Linked DNA regions of Astyanax mexicanus. The protein of the gene in region 2 interacts with the protein of the main gene of each other region in a pairwise test. Links are inferred from orthologs where the notes say so. Each region holds a gene or a part of one and is shown on either strand. Other genes may lie near its edges.

Evidence for each region.
Region 1: the proteins of tacc3 (region 2) and cib3 interact in binary tests that used the Homo sapiens proteins (3 or more experiments, as listed by UniProt). The two-hybrid records come from large-scale screens. The link is inferred for Astyanax mexicanus from reciprocal best matches to the Homo sapiens genes TACC3 and CIB3.

What each region holds. Positions count from the first base shown.
Region 1 is NC_064411.1:47,999,888-48,007,701, reverse strand, and holds the start of cib3 (calcium and integrin-binding family member 3), read right to left. Parts: upstream 3,008-7,814; 5' UTR 255-3,007; coding exon 204-254; intron 1-203. Other genes in the region: sugp1 (SURP and G-patch domain-containing protein 1), read left to right, coding at 6,229-6,247, 7,607-7,778. UniProt on the Homo sapiens protein: Acts a an auxiliary subunit of the sensory mechanoelectrical transduction (MET) channel in hair cells. Plays a role in regulating hair cell MET channel localization and function.
Region 2 is NC_064414.1:9,971,796-9,978,861, forward strand, and holds the start of tacc3 (transforming acidic coiled-coil-containing protein 3), read right to left. Parts: upstream 3,001-7,066; 5' UTR 2,853-3,000; intron 1,698-2,852; exon of another isoform or gene 1,660-1,697; intron 720-1,659; 5' UTR 719-719; coding exon 545-718; intron 161-544; coding exon 33-160; intron 1-32. UniProt on the Homo sapiens protein: Plays a role in the microtubule-dependent coupling of the nucleus and the centrosome. Involved in the processes that regulate centrosome-mediated interkinetic nuclear migration (INM) of neural progenitors.

The DNA.
Region 1 (7,814 bases), on a different chromosome or scaffold from region 2:
GAGGATGAACGAAATAATTCACTAACAATAATATAACTTTTACAGTCCACAATTCATACACACTGATACACACTACGTTAAATTACAAAAGGACATGAAGAGTTTGCACATTTAAACTGCATTATTATAGATGTTCTTTTTGCACCTCTCTAACACAAGCCATAAATAAATTAATTAATTCTATGCAGCTTCTCCTGACTGACCTGATATGCGTCCAGTTGCTGGGCAGTGAAAATGGTCTGCTTGTTCCCCATTCCCGCTCAGCCAGAGTGAGCCCCAGAGCCCCATGTGAGTGAGTGTCAGTGTGTACCAGAAGGGAGTGTGGGCAGATATTTCAGATATGAAATGTACGAGACAATGGAGAGGGGATCGGGTGTCCGCCCTGCCGGGCCCTTCACCTCACCATTATAATGGAGGCATTTCATCGTTTTCATTGCGCTGAATGGCAGCCGTTTTTGGACCTGAATGAGGCTGTCGGTCAGCTGGAGTGCCGATGGCAGCGAGCCCCCGCTGAGAACGGGGGGTGACGCCTCACCCGGGGTTCAGATTACACCTGCTTTACCTGGGCTGCAGCACAGAGGGGGTTCAGCAAGATGAACCAGAATTAAATGTGCTATTTGTTTGATATTTAAGATTAGCTTTGTGTTTACTTGTAATTAAATTATAAGTGGGAATTTGTCTTTAATTCTACTTCTGTATATTATCTATGTCTGTACAGTTTTAAAAATTGCCCTTGCAAAAAAAAAAAAGTTTTGCAGGCACATATGACCATTTAGGTCATTTAGGGCAGTGTTGGCTTAGCAGTTTAAATGCTGGATAATCAATACCAAGCTTTTGGGTTTGATACCCAGGTTTAATATAATATCCATATTGTCTGCTGTTCCAGGGGCATTGTACCATGTCTGCCCTTGCTCTCTGACCCCAAATGGGATAAGTATCACTTTTTTTGATAGAACACTTCTACTCAGATTTTTACTCAAGTCTGTGTCTCTAGCACTATACATTTCTGTTTTAGACCAGTTGTAGCAGACCTGGGGCCTCATGAACTAAGAGTTGTGTGGAATTAATAATAAAATGAAATGAAAATGAAAAGTTCTATATGCACTAAAAAAAACAGATGTATGAAACCGTATTTAAGTAGATTTTGACCCACACTATTGTAATACATCACAATCAAATTCAAATTAAGCGCACATGCAGGAACACAATACTCTGCCTTGTCTCCTTCCTCCATTATGAAGATTATAATATGCTAATTAGTCAAATATGCCTTGCAATACTCTTATTAGGAAAATGGCGAAGAAAAGGAACTTTATCGATCACGGATCTGAGGTTTTGCTGTCAGAGGTACGCACACTTTTATATATATATATGTATGCGCATTAGGTTCTCGTTCTCACGCTTTACTAAGTCATGGCCATGCATTAGGATCTCCTTCCCACTCTTTAATAAGTCGTGGCCACGCATTAGGATCTTGTTACTATGGCTTAGTTATCTCGTTCCTGCGCATTAGGTTCTCGTTCCCATTCTTAAATAAGTAGGGGCCACTCATTAGGATCTTGTTCCCATGCCTTAATTATCTCGTTCCCACATATTAGGTTCTTGTTCCCACGCTTAATTAAGTCGTATCCATGCATTAGGATCTCATGTTGTCACATAATTCCGGCTCACACAATAGTGAAGTAAATAGTGATGTGGTTTACAAACAATTTGAAAAAGAACACATTTTGCATTTAATATGCCCTATATGGTTCTTTAAAATAATTATATTTAAAGTTATTTTATTTTGCACTACTTTGTCTTATTGTGCAGTGTTATTTTTGATACAAACAATTTTAATAAATAAACATTTTGCAAGAATGATGTTCTTTATTGCATTAATTCTATCTAAAACAAAGGCAAATGTATAACTGAGATTCTGAAACTGTGATTCTTTGCTATACAAGGTTATAACAAAGCTTAGTTGAACACGAAATGTATTCTATTTAAAAATATCAAGAACTAACAGTGTGGCAGAAAAATAAACTGTTGATGGGCAGAAAAGTTGTGAGTCTCTGATAAATCACAGTATTGATAAGCACATTATTTGTATGATAACTTAATATGTATTGCATGTAAACTCCACCAGAAGCATGATGGGAAAATGATCTCAGAAAGAATCTAGTTGCAGTCTTGCAGTTAGTGATCCCCAGTCTTTGCAAAATCTTAGCCTGTTAGTAAAAAGTCTGTGACTTGTCTTTAGATGTGAGAGGGTGTCAGACTTTAGTCTGTTAAAAGTCTTTTCAAAGTCGTGTAGTGTATGTGTGTATAGTGTATTATCAGGAAAGTCATGAATTACATTTATTCAAATTACTGTAATTGAGTAGATTTTATATTTTATTTTTTAATTTGTAATTTTTTAAGTAGTTTATAAAATAGGTAATTTTTACTCTTTTTACTCAAGTACATTTTGACACAAGTAATTTACTTCACTACATTGGAAAACTCCCCGTTACTGAGTAAATAATTAAATGTTGGGGTTTTGTTGAGTTTTGTTCTCCATGGCAGCGCAGCTGAACGTTTCCCAGCAGTGTTTATTACGGTTAGCGAGAGAGACGCTGTGTAAATCAGCTGTGCTCGGGGGAAACCGGTGTTCTGTAGAGTTATGCTACCCATCGATATGTGTTTCTTTAGGTTTTTTTTTTTTTTGTATGATTTTATGTTTTTCATGATAATTCCTTAAGTTTTTTATTGGAAACATTAAACAATCTTCTTAAATGTAAAAAACAAAAACATGTAAATAGCAGTTAAAGCATGGCAATGGCAAGTTAAAAAAATGATAATGAACTGTAAAACTATAGCAATACAGTTTATAGTCATGTATATGACCATAACTTTTAAACGGTAAAGAAAAAAATGGATCATAGAAACCTATGCCACTTGTTTTTAAAAATGTTTTATGGGGTGGTCTGAACAAATACTGCCTGAAAGGTCCAAATTATTATTTGGAATAATAATTCATTAAATATATTTAATTTATGTTTTGTACTTTTTTTACATCAAATAATTAAAAGTAACTATGTAACTTTTACTCAAAGTAAATTGTAAATTGAGTACTTTTTTACTTTTTCCTCGAGTAGATTTTTTAGATGGGTACTTTTACTTGAGTAGAATTTTAGCAAAGTAATGGTACTTTTACTTAATTACAATTTTTCAATACTTTTTCCACCTCTGTGTATTATAAGCTTGGTCTGAAAGAGACCTAAAAAAAAGTCCAACAAAAAGCAGCACTTCTGAAAATGTCTAATTTAAGAGTGTTTTGCTCTACTTATCTGTGGGGAACTCCTTCACCATCTCCAGCTCCATTCAGTAAAATCTGCTCCACAGTTTCTCCTCCTGCGCTGCGGGCGGCGGTGTGAACTCCTCTACAGTACAGCGGGTTTGTTTTCGAGACGAGGCGAAACAGTTACTGAGTACCAACTGGAGAGGGGGTTGGATCTCTGCCTGCCGGGAGACGGGCGGCAGTGGTGGGTCTTCGTGACGTCACCCGCCAGCCACTTTTTCATCGACCCGGCAGTGTCAGGCACGTACCCGGCAGTACTAAAAACTGTCAGGTAGCTTCCTGACAGTACGCCGGCACTACTAAAAACTGTCAGGGAGCTTCCTGACAGTACGCCGGCACTACTAAAAACTGTCAGGGGGCTAGCTGACAGTAAGACCGGAGTCAAGCTATCCGCGCTTCGGAAATTCTCAGTCAAGTCATCCGCGCTTTAAGTTTAGATGCGCGTATACGTGCGATTTTACGGTAAACAGCACGCTTAAAAAACACAGAGAACGGGAGACCGACACGTTTCAGTCTATTATATTAATTCAGACATACATTAAGCCCAGAAACGAGAAAAAACGGATTAAAATAACTCACCTCACTGTATATTTTGTGCAGTACATTATCTATTTGATATAATATCCCATCAGTGTTTAAGAGAGAGAGAGAGAGAGAGAGTTTTATATTAATATTACTTTTTTCAATCCATGCTTCAAATTAAATTTCTCATGAGTTTCCCAAAAAACCAAAACAGATCCAGTACCTTGTAAAAGAGTCCATCCTAGACTATCACTTCTGCAAGTGTGGGCAATTTTCACTGTATGGTTTATTTTATATTAATAAAAAAATTGTATGCGTGTTTAAAATAAAATTTTTCATGATTTTCCCATAATGCCAAAACTGGTCCACTACCATTTGAAAGAGTACAACATAGGCTGTCACCTCTGCAAGTTTGGGCAAATTTCACTGTATTTTTTATTTTATATTATTATTATTATTATTATTATTATTATTATTATTATTATTATTATTATTATTAATGTTTTTTTATTCTTGTTTAAAATTAAATTTCTCATGATTTTCCCATAATGCCAAAATAGATCCACTACCATGACTCCTGCATATTTGGGCAAATTTCACTGTTTTGTTTATTTTATATACATTTTTTTTTTTTTATGCTTAAAATGACATTTCTCATGATTTTCCCATAATGCCAAAACAGTTCCATTACCATTTGAACGAGTCTGTCCTAGGCTTTGACTCCTGCAAGTTTGGGCAAATTTCACTGTATTGTTTATTTTATATTAATTTATTTATTTTTTATGCTTAAAATTTAATTTCTCATGATTTTCCCATAATACCAAAACAGTTCCACTGTTAGCATTTGATGCCAAAACATAGGCTATCACCTCTGCAAGTTTCGGCAAATTTCACTGTATTGTTTATTTTATATTATTATTATTATTATTATTATTATTATTATTATTTTATTCATGTTTAAAATTAAATTTCTCATGATCTCATGATCTCTACAATTTGAAAGAGTCTGTCCTAGGCTATGACTCCTGCAAGTTTGGGAAAAATTCACTGTATTGTTTATTTTATATTATTTATTTATTTTTATTATTTATGCTTAAAATTAAATTTCTCATGATTTTTCCATAATGCCAAAACAGGTCCACTCCCATATGAAAGAGTCCATCCTAGGCTAGCTCCTTGACAGTTTTTAAAACTGCCGGCGTACTGTCAGCAGGCTCCCTGACAGTTTTTAAAACTGCCGGCATACTGTCAGCAAGCTCCCTGACAGTTTTTAATAGTGCCGGCGTACTGTGAGCAAGCCCCCTGACAGTTTTTAGTAGTGCCGGCATACTGTCAGGAAGCTCCCTGACAGTTTTTAATAGTGCCGGCGTACTGTCAGCAAGCTCCCTGGCAGTTTTTAAAACTGCCGGCGTACTGTCAGGAAGCTCCCTGACAGTTTTTAGTAGTGCCGGCGTACTGTCAGGAAGCTCCCTGACAGTTTTTAAAACTGCCGGCGTACTGTCAGGAAGCTCCCTGACAGTTTTTAGTAGTGCCGGCGTACTGTCACGAAGCTACCTGACAGTTTTTAAAACTGCCGGCATACTGTCAGCAAGCTCCCTGACAGTTTTTAATAGTGCCGGCGTACTGTGAGCAAGCCCCCTGACAGTTTTTAGTAGTGCCGGCATACTGTCAGGAAGCTCCCTGACAGTTTTTAATAGTGCCGGCGTACTGTCAGCAAGCTCCCTGGCAGTTTTTAAAACTGCCGGCGTACTGTCAGGAAGCTCCCTGACAGTTTTTAGTAGTGCCGGCGTACTGTCAGGAAGCTCCCTGACAGTTTTTAAAACTGCCGGCGTACTGTCAGGAAGCTCCCTGACAGTTTTTAGTAGTGCCGGCGTACTGTCACGAAGCTACCTGACAGTTTTTAAAACTGCCGGCATACTGTCAGCAAGCTCCCTGACAGTTTTTAATAGTGCCGGCGTACTGTGAGCAAGCCCCCTGACAGTTTTTAGTAGTGCCGGCATACTGTCAGGAAGCTCCCTGACAGTTTTTAATAGTGCCGGCGTACTGTCAGCAAGCTCCCTGGCAGTTTTTAATACTGCCGGCGTACTGTCAGGAAGCTCTCTGACAGTTTTTAGTAGTGCCGGCGTACTGTCAGGAAGCTCCCTGACAGTTTTTAAAACTGCCGGCGTACTGTCAGTTAGCCCCCTGACAGTTTTTAGTAGTGCCGGCGTACTGTCAGGAAGCTCCCTGACAGTTTTTAGTACTGCCGGGTACGTGCCTGGCACTGCCGGGTCGATGAAAAAGTGGCTGGCGGGTGACGTCACGCAGACCCACCACTGCCGCCCGTCTCCCGGCAGGCAAAGATCCAACCCCAACTGACCAACTGAGTAAACAAGGGGCTGAAAATGGAGGCGAACGATGGAGGTAAATTAACTATATTAAAACACATTAAAACAATAATGAGTGTAGCCGCGGGGATCCGCTGATTATGGTGTTTGAGCTGCCTGCGTATCGCTAGCTAGTAATAAGGCTAGCATGGTGTTAGCTAGGGCTTTAGCTTAGCTTAGCATATTTTAGCCTAGTTTAGCTAGATTATACACACCCTTAGCTAGCTTAGCTTTATTCTTTATCCTTAATATAAGTTACTTATTTGACTAGCAGTTACTAATACTAACATTCCTTTGTGTAATACGTAAAATTAGTAACTTAATTCGTTGATTTATTGTATTTTAATCTTCAACTATGGCTAACTAACCAAGTTAGCTTAGTCAGCGGCTGTAGGTTAACTAGCGTTAGTTTAGATTAGGTTAGCTAATGTCAGCTCTAGTTATACAGCTCTGAAAAAAAACAAGAGAGCACTTAATTTTCTGAATCAGTTTCTCTGATTTTGCTATTTATAGATATATGTTTGAATTAAATGAACATGTCATTTAGAGCATTTATTTGTAGAAAATGCAATCGAGAAATGGCTGAAATAACAAAACAATATGCAGAGCTTTCAGACCTCAAACAATGCAAAGAAAACAAGTTCATATTCATAAAGTTTTAAGAGTACAGAAACCAATATTTGGTGGAATAACCCTGGTTTTTATTCAGAGTTTTCATTCTTCTTGTGATGTTCTCCTCCACCAGTCTTTCACACTGATTGTGGATAACTTTATGTCTTTACTCCTGATTAAAAAAATCAAGCAGTTCAGCTCGGTTTGATGGTTTGTGATCATCCATCCTCCTCTTGATTATATTCTGGAGGTTTTCAATTAGGTAAAATCAAAGAAACTCATAATTTTTTAAGTGGTCTCTTTATTTTTTTTGCAGAGCTGCTTTTTTGCTGCCCCTGTGTATTAAAATGTAAAAAATAGCACTTTATAAATAGTAGAGGTTCATTCCCAGTGTTATTTATTATTGTCTGTAGAAATATATGAGACATAAGCTACAGTACTAGTCAAAAGTTTAAATACACAACTTCTCATTCAATTATGTTATTTATCCCTTTATTAGATATATATATATATATATATATATATATATATATATATATATATATATATATATATATATATATATATATATTACTTATGTCTCAATTCATAATTAAGAATACTCAATACATTATTGAGGGAACACATTTTTTAATTGTAGGTCCCTGGGCTTTACCTAAAAGCGCTAAGCAGAAAAGTGCCTAATGTATATGCCATACTTTTAGACCTTTGATCATATGTTGTGTATTATAACAGATCCTAAGCCAGTTTCAGCCTGATGTTAACTGTACATTTTGTGTTGCAGGTCGAGGAGGCTGGAAGAATAATAACAATAATAAATTTGCTCAGAAGAGCAAGCTCAACGTTATTATGAGGCAGGAGGAGTTGATCGCTCAGAAGAAGCGTGAAATCGAGGCAAAAATGGCAGAGCAAGCTAAACGGAACATATCAGCTCCTAGCAAGCCAATACCACCAAGGTAACTTATCTACAAATTCTCATTATTTCACTTTGG
Region 2 (7,066 bases):
TTTTAGCTAGAAAAGAACATGTTGATACTCACTCAGTAGAAGTCAGCGAGAGAGACTCTAGGAGAGCTGTGCAATCATCCAAAGAGGCCATCTTGCCAACACGGCTAGGAGACATAATTTTCTTAGTCACCGGGTCTCTGCGTGGAGTTTGGAAACAAACCTGGAGAACAAACAGTAACGAAAACTTAAGGGGATAAAGTGAGCAGAAATTTAAATTTAAGCAAGAAATATCCACATATTACAGCCACATTCAACACAGTCAGTGTACGGAATTCAACAACCCTGAATGTGTTACAAAATGACGTGGATTACAGAGAACAATGAGTTTATTCATAAAGTAAGCAGTTCATTAAGAAGAACTATGCCTTTTGTAGCAACATGGCAAAAATAAAAAAATAAAATGTACATTTTACAAACTACAAATAAACACTTCCAAAAACTGTACATCAGTTAAAACTCCTAACTTCCTTTGGAATCAATTGACTGTCTATCTAGCCCTATCCAAGTTAGCACATATACAAACACAATCATTTAAAGTCTCTACCTTCACTCCTTTGGGCACGTTTTTGTTGAGGTTTTCAGCCTGAGATTGTCTCAGTATGGAAGGCCTGCCGGTGGGCTGATCCAAAGCGAAAATATCAGCAGAAGTTTCAGGTGCAATGTGCTTCCTAACAGGGCAAACTCCCTGATTCTCATCATTCACCACCACTGAACTCATACTAGAGAGAGAAAGAGAGAGAGAAAAACACACTGAAGAGTATGAGTGACGACATCATAAAACGAGCCACTCCCAGTGGGCACTCTGTGTACAGTACCCAGCTGGGTTTACTGATAAGCCAGAAGGACTTGTGCTTTAAATAAACAGAAAATTTAAGTAGTTTGTTGATGAAAACTGATATTTTAAATTAAATGTTTTGATATCCACTTTTAACTGTTTGCAGTTTATATGCATGCACAAATCATACTGTTACTATTTCACACAATTAGAGTCTTGGTAAATAACTGTTAACCAAAAACGACAAACTAATAGATTTTTAGTTTTATTTACTAAAATTATTCTGGAATCTTATTTGGGTGCATAACTACATTCTCAAAATAAATCTTATACTGTAATACTGTAGACCACATTCAGCAACAGACAGCAATGTTGGTCATGTCATCACAGCTGATCCAGAGCCAATCTCATACCTATTCAAAGCTTCATTAGAAAGACTGTGGATACTTTCAGACATACAGTGCTGGTTGGTCATGTCGGTGAAAGCCTGAATTTCCAGGCTAGCTGCAGAAAGCATACAAAGTGAAGAGCCATTGTGCAGAATTAGGTCAGGGGTGGTTTAGTTCGGTCAGCTGATGTGTGGCAGTGAAAGGTTGTTACTGTAAAATCCCAACTGTGCTCCAAATGTTAAGTAAAACTTATGTGAAAAGGTGTCCAACTGAGAAAGCCCATCGGTGAAAGTGAATCATACCTTCAAGAGAAAGGCAGAAACTGGAGGAAAATAACTTGACATTTCAAAATTACTGAATCAGTTGGCAGTTACACTTAGTATTTCCTGGCACACTGCTTTTTATATTTTACACAGTATTGAGGATAAACAGGTTATAAACCCTGTCCCTTGATGGCATGACTTCACATGACTAAGAATATGGAGTTATAATTACCATTTATGGCCATGTCTCTCTCCAGAACCCAGGAAACTCTATTTAAAATGAACAATGCACCATCAGCTTTACCAAGCCAGACTTCAAGAAAATTACCGATGTTCTACAGTATTTATTTCAGTAGGATTTTATAGGTCAAATGAAGCACCTCAACATCAAAAACAACATTCTGTGGGTAATAGAAAATTTATTCGTTACAAATAAACGATTATACAAGTTGCTTGAGTTGCTCAGTTGGCACAGTGTTTCAGTTCTCCTCCATGCTACTTCCATGTTTTAGATTGGACAGGGTGTGGTCACGTGATTATACATGTGGTTGTAAGTTCAGTACATGTACACATTGCTTTTTTTAAAACGAAATCAATATTTGAATCAATAAAATGCATTATATTAACTGCGCAGACCTAGTTTACACTCCAAACAAGTGTTCTACATTGTCACCCTTGTAGTTAAAATGGTCACTTTGTTTTAAATGTAATACAAACTCATAGCAAGACATTAAAATAAGCTCTGTTGAGTTTTTATAGGTTAAATAAGTTAAGTTAAAACAATGATAAATAAATTATAACCACACACACCAATGCACGTTTTAAAAGTACGTTACTTTTAGGACACTCTGTAATTACACATACTCACACTTAACGTTAACTCTTACTGACTGTCATTTTAAACAGTAGAAGACAAACAGTAGTTAGTGTTTTAATGGGGGAGCCAGACATTTCCAGAACTTAGTCAAAGGAGATGCATGTGTAACGTTACACAAGCTAGCTAGCTAGCTAACTAACCTAACGCACTTGATAAATACTCCATAAATAATTTAAATACGATTCAAAAAGTACTACATACCTTAAACATTGAAATACTTTAACTTGGTTAACCTGCCGTTAACTAGTTAACCAAACTAGCTAGTAAACTAAGCCAAACTATCTAGTCTGGTAAGCTTAGCTAACGTTAGCTAGCTATGAAACGTCAGTTAAATTAGTGTTTGAACTGAATACCAAAACATTGTAAAATGTGTAAACTAGATAGCTGAGTTAAAAGTATAAGTTAAGAGAGAGAAATTACCTAGCTGGCCACTTAACTATTTATTAAAATACCAGATAACGACTCGCTGTCAGAAACTAGCTTTAAAAGTATTATTTCACACTTTAAGTTACTCGACACTGCTCATAAAGATTTGTCCTCATACTTACATGTCTCCGTACAGACAGTCAGCAGCAGAAGAAGCAGAAATAAAGATTAAAACGTGTTTATCCTGAAGAGACGGGCTGCGGCTCCCTCTCCGCTGTGAGTATCTTAACTGAGCCGCTGCACTGGTTTAACAGAATACCCGTTTACCGTTACATTTCAAATTTAAACGCCTTTGCCTCCACCAATCACATTCCTACCGCGACGCCAAGAAGGCGGGCTGTAATATGAATCTACCAATGCCATGTCAAACTGCGCGCAACTCTGATTGGCTGGTGCAGAAACAGACCTGGCGAATGAGCCAATAGTAAACACATTCAATCATAAACAGGCCCACATGTTACCTTATTCAACCCGTTGTAATCATTACTGTAAAAGCAGCGCCAGCAGAGAATCTCTGGAGAGCAAAATCTTGGTGATATTTAAAAAAAAAGCTCAATATTTTTTACGACTTAGATTTCCAGTTCTTACACCACAAACCACAAAAAACAGCACAATTCAAAGTGACCTGCAAGTTATTGTTTCTACGGAGCACCTGAAGGGACATGGTTTATTTTTTAACATGAAAAAGTGGTGAGCACCACATACTAAGTGGTGAGCAGCAGATAGTAAATGGTGAGCACCAGATAGTAAGTGGTGAGCACCACATAATCACTTGTCTGTACCTGACTGCGACATTGTGCTGTGCACATGCTCTGCAATCCTCCATCCAATTATCTAAATCCTATTTGCCTAGCTGCCACACTGTATGTGTATGTGTCCAAAAGCTTTTTCTACAAAATGATGCCTTCTAACTTGTGCACGTCTTATAAGAGTTAGCTGGCTATCGTTAGCTCTGGGCTTAACGCTACCTTTAGCCACCTAACTAAAATATTCCCCACTGAAATAAAGTAGTTAACATTAGCTAACATAGCTAACTGGCTAGCTAACAACGTTATTACACTGTGGAAAATATGACAGATTAAACTATAGCTATAGCCAATTAGTATCTGGTGCTCATCACTTGTGTGTGTATGTGGTGGAGAAAAAATACTTTTTGAATAAATAAGAAATAAATAAGTATAAGTTCCGACCCTGCAATGTGATTGGCTGAGAGGAGTTTTATGAGCAACATTATTAGGCGATAACGCACTGTAACCGAAGCTTTCCATGTATTACTCCGCCAAATACAGGTAACATAGCAACGATGCAGCTCTTACCAGCCAAAAATGGACATTAATCTATACATATTTCTCTCTTAAAAACGTTTATTTGTTTATAACTAAACCGATCACATTTTCTCATCCTGTTTAACTCAAAATTGTTCAATAATCAGCAGTAATGGAACTGTGGTATAATCGCAATAATACACTCAAGGTTCGTGCTATAACGTGTCATATTGGCACTGCTGTTCTGAGGACCGCATCCCAGCAGTGCCAATATGACACCTTGTACCACTCCCTCTCGTGTAATATTGCTTAAATAATGCATCTTAATACATATTTTTTGCAAAATACACCATTCTACTTTCCAAAATTAAATGAATATACTGGCAAAGTATTTATAGACTATTTAACTACATTAAACTGGAGTTTTTAGCCATTTAGCTCCATTCCCCGTTATTCATTTTGCACTCACTCGAGGGCTCCCTCTAGCGGTGTGCGGTCAGTCTGATATAAAAGGGGAGATATGAAGTGAGTAGGCTCTGATTTGACCTGTTTGTGAAAGCACTACTAGCACTTCTACTCAAGAAGTAAATATAAACACTGATCAATAACAGTTTTACCCATAGACTGTATATAAAGATGGACGCCGTGTCGCCGTTCCCATTCATTCAATTAAAATGAAGCCAAAATCTTCCGCCATTTTGGCGATTCAGAGACCAGAGTCTGCGCAGTACAGACCAGAGGAGGGAGAAAGGCTGTGGAGAGACCGCCTACTCATTTGAATAACCCCGCCCCTGAGGGCTGCCTCGCGGTCACAGACTGCAGAGCGGGGTGGAGCGGAGCTGACGGTCTGTTATTGGTCCCGCCCATAAGCAGCCCTTTTACCATAACCACAACTTTTTTTGAATAGAGCCGAATAAAGTTTTAAAAACCGAATTCTGTGGGGATATAAAAATTTGACAATATAAGCAGAGGTTACATTAGCTGTTGCATTTAAATAATGGATGTAGAATTACAGTATATTAGAAAAAAACGTGATTGAAAGTTGTCTGTTTTGCCATTGAAACCTATGGGGATGGGTGGAGTTACACAGCTTTCTGCAGCCGAACAGCAGGGGGCGCCCGACCTGTGGTGGCTTCACTTTTAAGAGACGATGCTCTGTCCAGCTATACACAGTCTATGGTTTTACCCACCAAAATGTAATACACTTCTGCTTAAACACCCCAGTTTCAAAGGTAGGTCAAAATTCACAATATAGTCTATTTAGGCTAAAGATTTATGTTAGAAAAATTTGTTACAGTAAACATAACTTAAATATTGACGATAATATTGACTGCATCACCCATATATATTATGCACAGAAATATTTTTGATTTATTTTCCTTTAACAAGGTTTATTAAAATTAAGGTGGGACTGTTTATTACTTCAAAGGAACATATTTCAACTATTAATGAAAAAAGATGGTTTTAGGGTTTAGTGCCTCTTTAAGTACAAATACTTTGCCACCTGTCCTTGTTAAAATTAAATAAAAAAAATGAATATTTAAAACATGTGTTTTTATATTAACATTACTGTTATTGTCACAACAACCTGTGGTTCTGTAAGAATGGTTTCAGAGGTACTACTCTGTCATATCATAACTAGAGCTGCAGTGATTATAAATAATAAGTAATTTGTAACCGCAATAATGGGTGTGGTAGTGGGGGTAAAAGTGGGCCTGACTACCCAGGGCCCGAGTAGGGAGAGGGGTCCATGAAAATCCAGATTTTTATTTTCGCTCACATTCCTTTTGTACTGGCATGGATAGGAGCCCACTGACACTGAGAGTGTACAAGGCCCAGAATTTGCTGCTATGCCCTGACCGCAACACACAAAGTGCTTGCGACAGAAACACAAGGGGGGAGGTAGTTTAAACTGTGGTCTGTGTCTCCAAATGCACCCTATATCACAAAACACATTCAAACAGCTTCTGTGCTTTACAGCTGTTTCTTTTACTTAAAAGTGATGGACGGCATGGCAGAAATAATTAATACAATCTATTTGACTCACTGAATAATAATAATCACATAATTTGACTACTAAACAGCTTAGTTACAGGCCTATTCATAACCATGAAGCTAGCAACTGTAAAAGGTCATTGATGGTAACAAAACTAACAGAAAAAGCCCATGCCATGCGTGAGAAAGAAAGAGGTTTTTGGTAAAGTGAATAATTAATTTATATAATATTCATATGCTTTTTTCATTCAGATCATATAGTTTGGCAAATATCATGTATTGTACTGTAAACTGGGATTAATGTTATGAAATTCATTACCTACTGTAGGTTTTGTTTCTTGAAAAAACAATTACTGTAATTACGCAAAGGTCATGCCATATCATATCATACGCAATAATACTGCAAACTATTTTGACACAATAAAAGTCTACATATCGTTATAATAGTGATATTCGTGAAAGTCTATTTTGTATTTGTTTTTGCTGTTTACTTTAGTTACAGTTTATATTCATGTACAAAATGCACTGTTCTTTATTTTGTGTTAGATTTTTGTTGTTACTGTAAGTTACTGTTTAAAAAACAAGCCTTTTCTGTGTATGAAACTCCTATATTTATATTATAGTAAACTTTATTTATTTTGATGATTTAGAATATTTCTGAAATGTTTTTTCTTACTAAAATGTTTCGTCAAATAACCAAAAATATCGCTATCACAAAAATACCCTGAAATATTTCCCACCCCTAATGATCACATAAGTGAAATTTAAATGTATTTTCTAAAACTAACATTCAAACATTTTCAGTCAGTGTGGCCAAAATACACCATAATACAGAAAAAACACACAAGTAAATCCTTTGGAATTACCTGAATTTCTGCACACCGCCAACTGGCAAATAAATATAAACTACTTTAATGCTATACATGTTCAAGTCTTTATTTTAAAGTGTAACAGAAACACAGAAATATTACATTTGACTGTAAATCGTAACTTTTTTCTTTTTTTCTTTGATATCAAGACCCACACTTTTCTTCCTAATGTGTTACTTATTTGTATATTTTTATTTTTGCAATTAT